2 linked regions of the Arabidopsis thaliana genome follow. The protein of the gene in region 1 interacts with the protein of each later gene in a pairwise test. Each region holds a gene or a part of one and is shown on either strand. Other genes may lie near its edges.

Evidence for each region.
Region 2: the proteins of NDPK2 (region 1) and PP7 interact in a two-hybrid assay, tested with the Arabidopsis thaliana proteins (one study listed by BioGRID).

Annotation. Positions count from the first base shown.
Region 1 is NC_003076.8:25,369,432-25,377,092, reverse strand, and holds NDPK2 (nucleoside diphosphate kinase 2), read left to right. Parts: upstream 1-3,188; 5' UTR 3,189-3,254; coding exon 3,255-3,494; intron 3,495-3,674; coding exon 3,675-3,731; intron 3,732-3,876; coding exon 3,877-3,963; intron 3,964-4,183; coding exon 4,184-4,264; intron 4,265-4,358; coding exon 4,359-4,471; intron 4,472-4,560; coding exon 4,561-4,610; intron 4,611-4,903; coding exon 4,904-4,971; 3' UTR 4,972-5,189; downstream 5,190-7,661. Other genes in the region: NPX1 (nuclear protein X1), read left to right, coding at 271-341, 508-580, 665-748, 838-962, 1,060-1,126, 1,219-1,349, 1,439-2,680; AT5G63300 (Ribosomal protein S21 family protein), read right to left, coding at 5,318-5,971; AT5G63290 (Radical SAM superfamily protein), read left to right, coding at 6,199-7,022, 7,114-7,661. UniProt on the Arabidopsis thaliana protein: Major role in the synthesis of nucleoside triphosphates other than ATP. The ATP gamma phosphate is transferred to the NDP beta phosphate via a ping-pong mechanism, using a phosphorylated active-site intermediate. May activate MPK3 and MPK6.
Region 2 is NC_003076.8:25,558,876-25,564,936, reverse strand, and holds PP7 (serine/threonine phosphatase 7), read left to right. Parts: upstream 1-1,620; 5' UTR 1,621-1,778; intron 1,779-2,012; exon of another isoform or gene 2,013-2,023; 5' UTR 2,024-2,028; coding exon 2,029-2,424; intron 2,425-2,502; coding exon 2,503-2,997; coding exon of another isoform or gene 2,998-3,012; exon of another isoform or gene 3,013-3,085; coding exon 3,086-3,232; intron 3,233-3,307; coding exon 3,308-3,415; intron 3,416-3,505; coding exon 3,506-3,601; 3' UTR 3,602-3,867; downstream 3,868-6,061. Other genes in the region: VPS20.1 (SNF7 family protein), read right to left, coding at 23-178, 313-465, 560-712, 946-1,047. UniProt on the Arabidopsis thaliana protein: Phosphatase active on para-nitrophenylphosphate (pNPP) and on various phosphoproteins such as myelin basic protein.

The DNA.
Region 1 (7,661 bases):
TGATTAGTATTGGACTCCTGAGTCTTGTTTTGTAATTTGAGCCTACGTCGTGTCCCATATTATCTTTTCGATGCTTTTTCTCTGCTCTAGTAAGTGTGGTTATTCCCTTGCTATAGAGGATATTATAGTTAGTTTCTGTGGTTATCGTTTATGACGAATGAATTAAGTTCTTACATTGTGGTTTGGCAAACTGTAGAATTGATTCCTTTGCTTTATTTTTACTCATAGGAAGTGCTTTTTATACTGATGTGTTCTGTGATTATCTTTCAGATTCTGATTCTTGTAGTTCCTCTGGGAGTGAAACAGATTCTATTAAAGCTTCAAAACCCACAAGTAGAGAGGTATATCTAACAGTGGAATAACTTATGTTATGGAGTCTCTGTGTTTGGATGTTGCTCTAATTTCTGCAAGATTTTTCATTTACTCACCAATATTTCCATGGACTATTTGCAATCATAAAAGTGAAATTACTACAGAAAAATAAGTATAGTCTCCTCTTTAATTTAGGAAAAAAAGCAACCAGGAGTTGGTATAGACAAAAAAGAGGATGATAGCAACAGTGAGAAGATAGTTGTAAATGGTTAGTCTCTTTATAATTGATGTATGCAAGTTGGAGTGCTCGGATATAGAAGTCTTCCCGACACTCATTCTTTGTTCTCTGTAGATTCTTTGAATGAATTGGATCAACTTGAGCATACTGTTGGGGAAAAGTCAACCACCATGGATGCAGTAGTTCTCGTTCCAGATGGTAAGAAATGAAAGTTAAGGAAGGTTGGAGATGGTAATAGATGTTTATTTTCAGATCATGAGTTTACCTGTCATGCTTTGGTATTATAGAGGAGACTGCTCCACCTGAGAGGCAAATTTCCCCAGATTCCCCAGATAAGCGTTACCGCGCGGCTTTCTTGAAGAATCGTTTTGCTGATACCATTATGAAAGCTCGAGAGAAGGCTTTTACCAAGGTTGAATTTTTAAGTGTCCGATCTACTGTGTTGACGAAAAAGCTCGCCTGAACTTGTGGATTGTTTTAATCAAAAAATTTAATGCATCAAATTTCAGGGTGAAAAAGGGGATCCTGAAAAATTGAGGATAGAAAGAGAGGAGTTTGAAAAACGGCTACGGGAAGGTTGGATTGTAGTGCATTCGAGTGTGCTTATGTACCCATAATTCCTAACTAAATACTTTTATTTTTAATTCTTGCGATTTCCGTTTGATTAGAAAAAGAACGGTTACAAGCCGAGGCCAAAGCAGCTGAGGAGGCTCGGAGAAAAGCCAAAGCAGAAGCCGCAGAAAAAGCGAGGAGGGAAAGAGAGCAAGAGAGAGAAGCTGCACGTCAAGCTTTACAAAAGGTATAAAAGACTTTTCGAGTTTCTCTTCTATTATTCAGAGCCCTACCATGGTGTACAATCATGATAAATGACTTTCTGGTCTGTTGCAGATGGAAAAGACAGTGGAGATAAACGAGGGCATACGGTTTATGGAAGACCTCCAGATGCTTAGAGCTACAGGTACAGAAGGTGATCAATTACCGACTTCCATGGAAGTGATGAGTCCCAAGTTTAGTGAGGATATGTTGGGTTTGGGTAGTTTCAAGATGGAAAGCAACAGTAATCCATTAGAACATCTAGGTCTGTATATGAAAATGGATGAGGATGAGGATGAAGAAGAAGACCCGCCACACTTTAGCCAGAGAAAAGTAGAAGACAATCCCTTTGACAGAAGTGAAAAACAGGAACATAGTCCTCACAGAGTAGAAGGAGAGGATCAACTCGTTAGCGGAAATGAAGAGCCGGTGAGCCAAGAGGCACATGATAATGGGGACCAAGAAGATGGAAAACCCATAAACCCAAATGAAATAGAACGACAACTGGAGAATATGCCAGAGCAAGAAAGTGGAGTTGGTGACAAGGAAGAGCAAGAAACTGAAGTTGTCGATATGAGAAAGCAAGAAAATGAAGTTGTTGATATGGGAGTGGAAGAAGTACATCCCCTTGACCGAAGTGAAGGGCGTACACTCAGTCCTCACAGAAAAGAGAGAGAGGACCCACGTGCTAGCGGTAATGAAGAATCGGTAAGCGAAAAGGCACAAGATTATGAGAACCAAAGAGATGAAAAAATCAATCAAAGCGAGAGAGAAGAACAATTGGAGAATGTGCTAGAGCAAGAAAGTAGTAGAGATGATGATACAGGAGAGCAAGAAACTGAAGTTGTCGGAGTAGGAAAAGAACTTTCCCTTGACAAAAGTGAAGGACAAACACTTAGTCCTCACAGAGAAGAGGGAGAGAACCAACTCGATTGTGGAAACGAAGAACTGGTAAGCCAAAAGACACAAGATAATGGGAACCAAGAAGATGAAAAATCCATCAATAAAATTGAAGGAGAAGAACAATTGGCGAATGTGCCAGAGCAAGAAAGTAGAGTTACTGAAAAAGAAGAACAAGAAACTGGAGTTGTCGACTTGGGAGAGCAAAAAAGCGAAGTTGTCGAAAAGGGGGTAGAAGAAAATGAAGCTGTTGACAATGGTGAGGGAGTGCAAGGAACTGAAGTTTCGGACAAGGGAGGAAACGAAACTGTAGTTGATGGCAATGGAAAGGTAGAAACCGAAGTTGTGGACAAGGCAGGGCAAAAAACTGACCTTGTTGACCAGGGAGAGGAAGATATAGATGTAGAAATTGATTGATGAAGTCTTTTTTCCGGGTCTTGTTAAAAGCAACAAGATGAAAAGAAAAAGTTGGGGATGTTTACGCATTGATTCTTCTATGCACAAAATGTAAATTTGATGTGGCGTGAAATGGCTAAAGCAAGCAAAAGAAAGGCAAAGCCAGATACATCTAGAAGACAAGACGATGAGTCTGTATTGCCTATTTTTCAACGTGACTCTGTTGACAATGATTCTAAATCGACGAAAAAAGAAAAAGAAAAAAACAATTTTGCTACAAGAAAGATGGTTTGGTTTGGTATTAAAGCAGCAAATTGTGCGACTGTTGAAATGTGCAGACTTTTGTTTTTTTTAATCTTTTAGAAGAGTAAACTGTACAGGGAAAGAGAAAGAGTCTGTTTCCTCCATTTAAACGAGACACTCTTTGTACTCGAGATCACTTTTTAAATTACTTCTGAGCACTGATACTTTTTGATTGATCAACTAAACCCAAATTATCTTCGCTTCTGGATAAAGGGTATTTATGTCAATTAACTTTGTTCTTATAAGATGATGATGCGAAGACACTGAGAGAAGCTAAGACAAAGCGCAGAAAATGGTGGGAGCGACTGTAGTTAGTAAATGGACTCCCCTATGTGTGGCTTCGCCGCCGGAGAGAAACTCGGCAAGTCTCAATCCACACTGTTCTCCAGCCAGGGTTAATTTTAGAACAGCGTTGGCCGCATTTCGTCCTCAGTTCCGTCTTTTCTCTCGCAATTCCGCGTCTCGCCGCCGTCTTCGCGCTTCCAGCTCCGCCGAATCGGGAATCTTCCTTCCTCACCTTGTAGCTTCTATGGTTTGTGTGCTTCCCCTCCATTTATGCGAATTACTTTGTTTTCTTAGTACTTACATTGATTAAACTCCGAAATCAGGAATTTAGGATTCAAATTAGTTTGGATATATTCTAATTTGATGAATCTCAATGCAATTTAGTGACCTTTTGATTGTTCTTACGTTGTTTTCTGTATTGTTTCAGGAGGACGTTGAGGAGACTTACATTATGGTGAAACCTGATGGCATACAACGAGGCCTTGTAAGCGTTTTTGCTTTTCATTTTTTTTCTTCTTCTGATTTTGAGGTTAAATTATGTATCTTGGAACTCTATGGAGCTTTGAATGTTATTTCATTACACTATCTTGGCTTAAATTATGAATGTATGATTCATTTGATGTTCTTAGGTAGGAGAAATCATTTCTCGCTTTGAGAAAAAGGGGTTTAAACTTATTGGGCTCAAGATGTTTCAGTGCCCAAAAGAATTGGCTGAGGTTTGACACTCACTCATTACATCAGTAGTTTGATAACTTTAGATTGCTTCTTAATGTGATATAACTAATAAATCATTGACAAGTATCGAGAAATTGAAGCCTGATCATGACTTGCATATTTCACTTATTCGCTACATTTGCGTAAGATGACGCTGCCTCATTTTTTTTTCATATTCGATTGACATAATTAATATTCTTGTGTGTTTATCTCAATTGCCAGGAGCATTATAAGGATCTTAGTGCTAAATCATTCTTTCCTAACCTGATTGAGTACATCACTTCAGGTCCAGTTGTGTGTATGGTATGGGTATAACTATGCTCTAATTTGATTTTTACTTGTTTTCAAGTTGTAATTAGATGAGTTAATTGCATGTGATGTTTTAAACCTGGTAAAGGCTTGGGAAGGTGTTGGTGTTGTTGCTTCAGCCAGGAAGCTAATAGGGAAAACAGATCCGCTTCAAGCTGAACCTGGTACTATAAGAGGAGATCTTGCTGTGCAAACCGGAAGGTTGGACTTCTATCATCTTTAAAATTGTTGGAAGTAAGCACTTAAAATAATTCTCATGGTTTGATATTTTTAAATTATGCAATTTGCAGGAACATTGTGCATGGTAGTGACAGCCCTGAAAACGGCAAGCGTGAGATTGGTGAGATTTCTTGTTTTTTGTTCAAATCATTCACCCATCTTTCATTGTTGAGACATTGACTATGTCCAGTTTAGGGGCAAATCAACGTGGTTCAAACTGCTTCAAATTAACTTGATAACATAACTAGATTAGATCATACTTGATTACTGAAATTGTTAGGTTCAATATATCTGTTTTAAACCATTACTATCACTTCTTCATTTACTTAGTTTGACCAATCACTCTCATTCCTTAGTATGCTAAACTTTTAGTTTTCATTTGCTGACATTTTGGCTCTTGTGGTTGTGGCATAGGTCTGTGGTTCAAAGAGGGCGAGCTATGCAAGTGGGATTCGGCTCTAGCTACATGGCTAAGGGAGTGATCCTTGAGAAGACAGAGTCAATTATAATGGTGTCCTTACTTGTTTTCTTGTTACCGATGATGAGCTTTGGTGTTTTGTTCCTGATTTTGGGCGGCAATATAATATAACTGCCAATCTATGGCTTGATTCTTCTCATATCTGTGATCACTTGTCATGTAATCAAAACTAGTTACAGATTCATCTGCATTTGGTTCTACGTTACAGACACCTCCAAAATCATTCATCTTCACTCTACACCGAGCAATGAAAATTTTCTAATCTCAAGCTAAAAGAACATACAAAAGAGTGGCTTTACAAAACGCAGATGCTGCGTGATTAAGATTGCTCAGATCAGTGTACCGGAATATCATTCCGGTTTACTTCTAAGACCGGTTGGTATATGGAATCTCAATGTCCTCAGGAGGAAGTTCCCAGTGATCGTCTTGTTCGTCTTCTCTGGATGCATTTCTGTTGTGCTTGCGGATCTCTGAAGTTGATAGTGGTTTTGGTTTAGGGTTTGGTCTCCTGTAAAATCAAAATCTATTGACTCAACTTCTCCAAGTGTTTTTCGAAAGAAAGAAGAAAAAGTGAAAAAAAAATCTGACCTTTTCCGATACTTCTTCGCAGCTTCTTTGGTCTTCCGCGTCTTCTTCTCCAGAGAGCTCTCGAAGAAGCGTCGTCTTCGAGATTCCTGCAACACACCCGCTCTGAAACACGACCTCTTGAAATCGTTAACCAGCTGCTCCTCCGATTCGCCGTCTTTAGGCACCACCTCGACGTTGTAGTAACTGGACTTGAAGAATACGAGATTCGCGTTCGCCAGCGAAGGATACGCCACTCGATTGATGACGTCATCGTGCTCGGCCGTTAAAATCTTCGTCGTCATCGACAAATGCTGTGACGTTCTCGCGGATACGGAAGACGGAAGCGTGATAGGTTTCAGACTCGACGGAGACGGTGGTTTCGACGAGAGAAGGGAAGAGAGAAGCTCCGAGAGAGAGACTATCGATTCTAGCGCCATTTTTTTTTCCGTCTGAATAAGTGAATAATCGTTTCATTCTTATTATAATATTTTTCAATTGTAATTAGTGTGTTAATTAGATGGTCAAGTCTTTAGTGAGTCTACTTTCTGACTAAAACGACGACGTTGAAGCATATAAAACGAGACCAGTGAACTTTGATCTTTGAAAGCTTTCTCTCTTCGTCTCTCTGGCTCTCTTTCTTTTTCTCTCGTTTTATTTGGTAATTATGCTGAAAACAACGATTTCTCCAATTTTCTCATCGTTTACAGGTAAACCCAAGTGCTCATCGAAGTTGTTTTTTCGAGCTTTTAGTAAGGTTGTTCTACAAGATACTCCACCAAGTGCTCGACGAAATGCGTCAACCAATCTTACTACGTTACACAAAGGTCCACCAACCTCAGCCTACGTTCATCTTCCGTTTTGTCGCAAACGCTGTCATTATTGTGACTTTCCTATCTTAGCTCTAGGCATGTCTTCTTCTTCAGCCAGACCGTCTAATGTCTACGAGGAAGGAAAAGAAGATGACCCGAGAATCACGAACTATGTGAATTTGCTTGTTAGAGAGATAAAAGCGACAAGGACGGATTTTGATACGAACCCGAATCTAGAAACGGTGTTTTTCGGTGGTGGGACGCCTTCTCTTGTTCCTCCGAAGCTTGTTTCTTTGATTCTGGAAACATTGAGTTTGAATTTCGGGCTGAGTCCAGATGCTGAGATATCAATGGAGATGGATCCAGGCACGTTTGATGGTCAGAAGCTGAAGGATTTGATGAAATTGGGAGTTAACAGAGTGTCTTTAGGAGTTCAAGCTTTTCAAGATGAGCTTTTGAAAGCTTGTGGAAGAGCTCATGGTGTCTCTCAAGTGTATGAAGCAATAGAGTTTGTTAAAGAATGTGGAGTTGAGAATTGGAGTATGGATCTTATTTCTTCTCTGCCTCACCAGACTTTGGAGATGTGGGAAGAGAGTTTGAGATTAGCTATCGAATCACAGCCCAATCATGTTTCTGTATATGATCTGCAAGTCGAACAAGGCACAAAGTTTGGAAATTTGTAAGTGTACGTAGTTCAAGTTTGCTTACTGATGCTTAAGAACTTGAATGTAATCTGAACAGAAACGAATTGGGTTCATGAACTTGTGTAGGTACACTCCAGGACAGTCCCCTCTTCCTTCAGAAACACAGTCTGCAGAGTTTTATAAAACAGCATCATCGATGCTCCGTGGTGCAGGTTATGAACATTATGAAGTCAGCAGTTACTCGAGAGACGGTTTCAAGTGCAAACACAACTTGATATACTGGAAGAACAAGCCATTCTATGCTTTCGGTTTAGGTTCAGCGAGTTATGTTGGAGGGTTGAGGTTTTCAAGGCCAAGGAGGCTAAAGGAATACACAAACTATGTCGCTGACTTGGAGAATGGCGCAGCAAACTGGTGTGGAAATGGTGATGTTGATCTTAAGGATGTTGCAACAGACATCTTAATGCTATCTTTCAGAACATCTAAAGGGCTTGAACTTAAGGAGTTTGGAGAAGCTTTTGGCAGTGAGGTAGTGAAATCAATCTGTAAAGTTTATGAGCCTTATGTGGAGAGTGGGCACATTGTTTGTTTGGATGATATGAGAAGCGAAGTGATGATTGATGAATTCAAAACCTTAGTTGCAAATGATGAAGTGAAGATTGAGGATCATGTGA
Region 2 (6,061 bases), 190 kb from region 1:
AATTTATTTTGTAAACCCATACCTGACTTTCTAGGTTGTCAAATTCTGCTAATATATCTTCCTCATCCTCTGCTGATAGTTTCTCTCCCAATATAGCGTTCAGCTCCTGACATTCGGAAATGTAAATAGAGTCATCAAACACAAAAGCTCGACAAAAAAGATTATAGAGGTTTTCACACTAGACGAGCTCAGAACAAACTGTGCCACACAAAGCAGTGATCAAATAAGAAGATATTTACATTCTGACAAAGCGGATAACGTAATAATGAATCATAAACAAATGATACGAAACCCGAAAGTATTTTGACTCACATCTTGATAAGCTTTAGCATCAGCAGTATCATCCATTAGTTTTTGAACATCATCAAGGTCCAATTCGCTTTGAATGGCCTTAATAGCACTATTACCCTGCTTTAAGCTCTCAAACACTGCCTTTTGTTTGCTCGTAAGTTCAATATCTGTTAACTGCGAGTTCACATGAAAGTTTGAGAAAGCCATAATTATGCATCAAAAGAGACGATGCCGGATACAAAACATACACACAAGGAGAAGGATTTACTTGTTGTTCAACATTGATGACCCATTGATCCACTTGCTTCAATAACTCTTCTTGAGTTCGTTTCTTCCTCAATGCTAACAAAGCTCTGTCCTTTCGCTTTTCACGGATTAAGTCTCTTGCAGCTTGCTTTTCCGCTTCAATTACTTTCTCAAGCTAAATTAGCAAAAAAAATGAGAAGATCGGTTAACAAAGAGATGAGCCAAAGAACTCAAAAGCTTGAGTCTTTCTTTTCCATCACACTACTAACAATCATAAGACACATATTGTGAAACGAATCAAATCCAATCTCCAATTAGGATTTTGGATGAATCAAAACTATATGATCTGGGTTCCAAAAGAAATTGTAACAAAAGAAAATTAAGATATAAGAAGAGAGAATAAAAAACCTTCTGCTGATATTGACCAAGCTTGCGTCTTTGGGTTTTGAGAGAGAGAATCGCTCGATCAACCTCCGTGATCTGTGGTTTCTTCACGAACAAATTCCCCATCTTTTCTTCACTTATCGAAACCAACGATTCGGAAAATCAAACGAGCAGAAGAAAATTTAGCAAGATTTGATCTTTTGACGAAATTGATTATTAGTCTCTAGATTTCCCAAAAATGTCGCCAATTTCAAACCAAAGTCCAATTTTTGTGTTTCTTCTCTCTTTCTGCTTTTCAGTACAAATATCTCAAAATAGAGGAAAAGCATGAACCGGACCGAAAAAATGTAAAAATCGATATCGAACCGATTTTAGTCGGTTTGATTTCATCCACACTGAAAAATAAAAAAATCGAAACCAAACAAAAATTCCTTGGATAGTACCGTAAACAAAATCAAGCTGAAATCGATAAGTAACCGAATAGACCAATGTATAATTCGGTCTCCCAATTTTGTTCAAGTTTATATCAAAACCAGAACAAACCGGTTGGCCACCTTTAACAAAATCTCGAACTCGCGTTTTCGATAGCGCGTGATTGCAAAACGCTATTGCAGCGTCACGACAAAAAAGGTTTGTTCGTTTATTAAACCGGCCGGTTTGGAATCATGAATTTGATTTGAATCCTTTTAGCTGGTTAACCGACGTCGTTTGAGTAAATGGATCCAAAGCCAGACAGATCCTAAATCTCGTCGACGACGGTGTCGGGACTGAAAGCAGAGAGAAAGCAAAGTAAGCTAGCTTAGCTAGGTCCAAGATCCAAGCTTTGGAATTTTGTAAATTGTCTCCACTCTTAGCCGGTGAGTCTCACTCTGTTCCGAATTATTCTTTGTGATATGGATTTCGATTTCCCATGATTCGATTTTGTACTTTTTGCTCTTCTCTTGAGTTTAAAGATGTACGAATGAATATATACAGATTCGATTTTATGTTCTGGTGGCTTTGATCGCTGAAATTTGAAAACTTTGTCTATGTTTCGATTGCTTGATACTCTTGTTTCACATGTTCATACTCTGGAATTGATTATAGATTAGTGTTTTTACAGTTTTAATGGAAACTGTTCCACCATCTCCCATTACATGGCCAGATGGGGGAGCTCTCACTAACGACTGGGTACATGGGCTTATGTCGTGTTTCGAATGGTCTTCATGGAATCTACCTCCTTCCCAGTTACCTTCACTATTGCCTGTCAACGTCTTTGATTCCCTCGTCCTCACCGCTCATAAAATCCTCCACAAAGAACGTAACTGCGTTCATATCGATGATCTTGACTCTGTATCCAACGTTGTTGTGGTTGGTGACATTCATGGTCAGCTTCATGACCTTCTTTTCCTATTGAAAGATACTGGCTTTCCTTGTCAAAACCGGTGTTATGTTTTCAACGGAGACTATGTGGATCGCGGTGCTTGGGGACTTGAAACCTTCCTTGTTCTCTTGTCCTGGAAGGTAAACTCTTTACTAAGCTGTTTTACTATTGGCTCAAGTCTTAGTATTCTTAAAGCACATATCTTTTTGGTTGTTTAGGTTTTGATGCCGGACAGAGTCTACCTACTCCGTGGTAATCATGAGTCAAAGTATTGTACATCTATGTATGGTTTCGAGAAGGAAGTGCTTACAAAATACGGAGACAAGGGAAAACATGTGTACCGGAAATGTTTGGGTTGCTTTGAAGGTCTTCCTTTGGCTTCCATAATTTCTGGACGTGTTTATACAGCACATGGAGGGCTTTTCCGCAGCCCAGTCTTGCCTAAGCGAACAACAAGGGGGAAAAAGAACCGTCGGGTAGTTCTTCTGGAACCTGAGCCGAGCTCAATGAAACTCGGTACCTTAGATGAGTTGATGCAAGCTCGAAGATCAGTTCTTGATCCTCCTTGGGAAGGTTCAAACTTGATACCAGGAGACGTTTTATGGTCTGATCCTTCAATGACTCCGGGCCTTTCACCAAATGAACAGAGAGGCATTGGTCTTCTTTGGGGTCCCGATTGTACAGAGGATTTTTTGAAGAAATATGAACTGAAGGTGACACCAAAGTAGATATTGATGCTTGTTTGCTTCCCAAATACTGATATGGATGATTGGATCAAATGTTTTACACTTATTGGTGCAGTTGATCATCAGATCACATGAAGGTCCAGATGCTAGAGAGAAGAGAACTGGTCTTGGTGGAATGGACAATGGATATACAATAGACCACAATGTCGAATCCGGAAAGCTTATCACTATTTTCAGTGCACCTGACTATCCGCAATTCCAAGTATGTATTTTTACGCCTTTGGTATTTGCATTTTCTAAAGATATGCGTTAACAATCATTTTTGTGTGTGGTGTAGGCAACAGAAGAGAGGTACAAAAACAAAGGAGCATATATTATTTTGCAGGCGCCTGATTTCTCGGATCCTCAATTTCATAGTTTCGAAGCTGTTAAACCGCGACCAAAGGTAACTAACTTACGATGCTGATAATGAACCAACGAGTTGTTTTACTTCTTTGATACACATACATAGCGACATCGGTTTTTAAATGTGCAGGCGCATCCATATTATGACTTTGAAAATGTCATTGATTCTGATGATGAGATGGATAAGTCAGCAATGGACACCAATAACGAACAACCAAATAGCTGACCGAAGCTGAAAAGGAGTATCTTGAATTGATGTTTTTTACAGTTGTTGTGATTGCTCATTATTTGCAAACATAAAATGGAATCAAATGTAAAGAAAAGAGATGAAGAAAATCATTTGTAGAATTCACATTTAAGTTATGTATGGAAGATGAAGAAATAAGAACCATCTTAAATCTCATGTAGTTCTTAGTTTCTTGGTTCCTACACGTCTTATTTAAACCTAAATCTTGTAAGATTTTGCTCTGTTTTGTCAGGTTAGCCTAAATCTTGAGAGGTCAAACTTGCAGTAACTTTCATTGTATAGAATTGCTTTTAACTGAATGATAAATCGAGTAGTAGATTAGTCCAATGGAAGTTTGTGGATCAAGTTATGTGTCTGTCGGCATTATAGTTTTCCTTTGAAATATTGACACATTACTAGAATCTTATCCAACAAAAAATTGTGTGGTTATGAAAATCCTAAGTAACGAGACAGCTTATTAAATGCCGAATTTGGTAGCAATTTGTTCAGATGAATGTATGTCTTCTTGTAAAAGACAGTATGAAGTGGAGGTTGATGCTAACTATCTTATGGTTCCTTATTGCACTTTGAAGCATTTATTGCAATTGTTTTCGGTTTTTTCTCTTGAGTGGGCTAAACTAATAATGGTCTGTTCTTTCTCTAAAGAGAGAAGAATTCGACAGGAGCGTGAAGCATCTTCATTCGCAAATATAACACATTAAAGCTACCTCTAGCATCATCTGTGTGATTCTCTCCAAGGTCATTCGTTGTCTGTCACGGGGCATCTCAAGTAATAAAGCTTAAAGTTAACTGTCTTTTCAGCCAAATAGTTTCATCATCTAAATATTCACATGATCTTCCATATTTCATCACCGATTATGGTTACAACATTTTTGCAAACCCTAAAATTTGTGTTATCGCCAAACTTGACCCTTATACCGGAACCCATGTGGGTGGGTGTTGATTTTTACTGTTTTGTAATTTGTTCATCGACAATCATTGACATGTACTCACCGCAATGTTTTTTCTTTCCTAGTTTCATGTGCATATATGTCTCTAAACAGTAATTGTTTAGCACTTCATGTCAAGCTTAAATTATTATAGGTGTCTTATCTTGTCTCTCTAGTATTTTCTGTTGAAGTCATGTGCATTAAATTGTATATAGTACTTCCAATGGCTTTCATATAATTTCCATTTTTCCACAAATTGTTCGTAATGATGTTTATTTAACAAGATTATAAAAGATAATGCAACAAATTTGTGTGATGAATGATGAGATGAACCCATTTGAAAGAGGTCGCAACAAATGTCAACATTAGAGACCATCTTGATCTAGAGTTTTGTCTCGTTGACTTTAATGCCAAAATTGGACAATACATATAATGCATGTATCAGGCAATGCAAAAATATCTTCATTCATTTAATTTTCTTACTATAATAGATGTCACAACTTCCCTCACTGACAAGCATATAATGTTGGTTTTATCTCAATGTAAACAACCTTTTAGTTTCACATAAATGTTAGGTCGAGCGAGGTGATATATTCGTTCCAGATCGGATGAAACAAGTAATTCATCGATGTTACCTTTATCCATATGTATATGTAAGATTATGGGTTTTAGGTAATCTAGTAAGTACTACTAAGTAGTATCCGTATGTAATTTTTTATTTATTTTTATCCGTTATGTATAATTTCTTTGGCCGTTTTCGCAAAATCTATATTTGGATGTTTTAGATCGTGAATTGATATATCTTAATTTGAATATTTAGGTATTCATATATTTTGAATCTATAGTTGACCTGTTGACCATGTATTTTGATTTGAATATCTCGCTCGATCGATAGAAGATTTTTTTTTGTTTTTGTTTTGTTGATAGTAGAATCTTCAAGTTGTAATTTAACAAAAAAAAAAAAAATCAAGTTGTAAGTAGACCGTATATCTGTATATTTCCATATGTAGAACCATGCATTTTGAATAATTGAATAAAATAACATGTAGCAAGACGTATCTTCATATGATAATCAGAATCATAATAAAAAGACAAACTGTACACCATATTGTAATCCAGGTTTAATTTGACCTCTTTGAAAAACTAAAATAGCTGAACTGAATATTTATAACTAAAAAGACAAATTGGATATGTCACTTTGGACTATGAAACTCAGAATTTTTTTTGACTAACGTGTATACTTTCACACGTGTGCATGACTAAAAACATATGATTAGGCTCTTACGATCTATGCGCCTTACACCTGTGAATGATGAACACATAAAACACAAGTTACGATCTAGAATGTCATGTGTACTGGCTTAAATCTACTTATGTGAAGAGGTAAATGAAATGGTCAAGAAACAAAAAAAAAAAGAAATGGTGAAATTATGAAAGTATAAAACTTTACCGGTGAGGTCCGTATTTGGATTTATTAAGTGAAGAGGGACCCTTTTGCAATTAAAGCCTG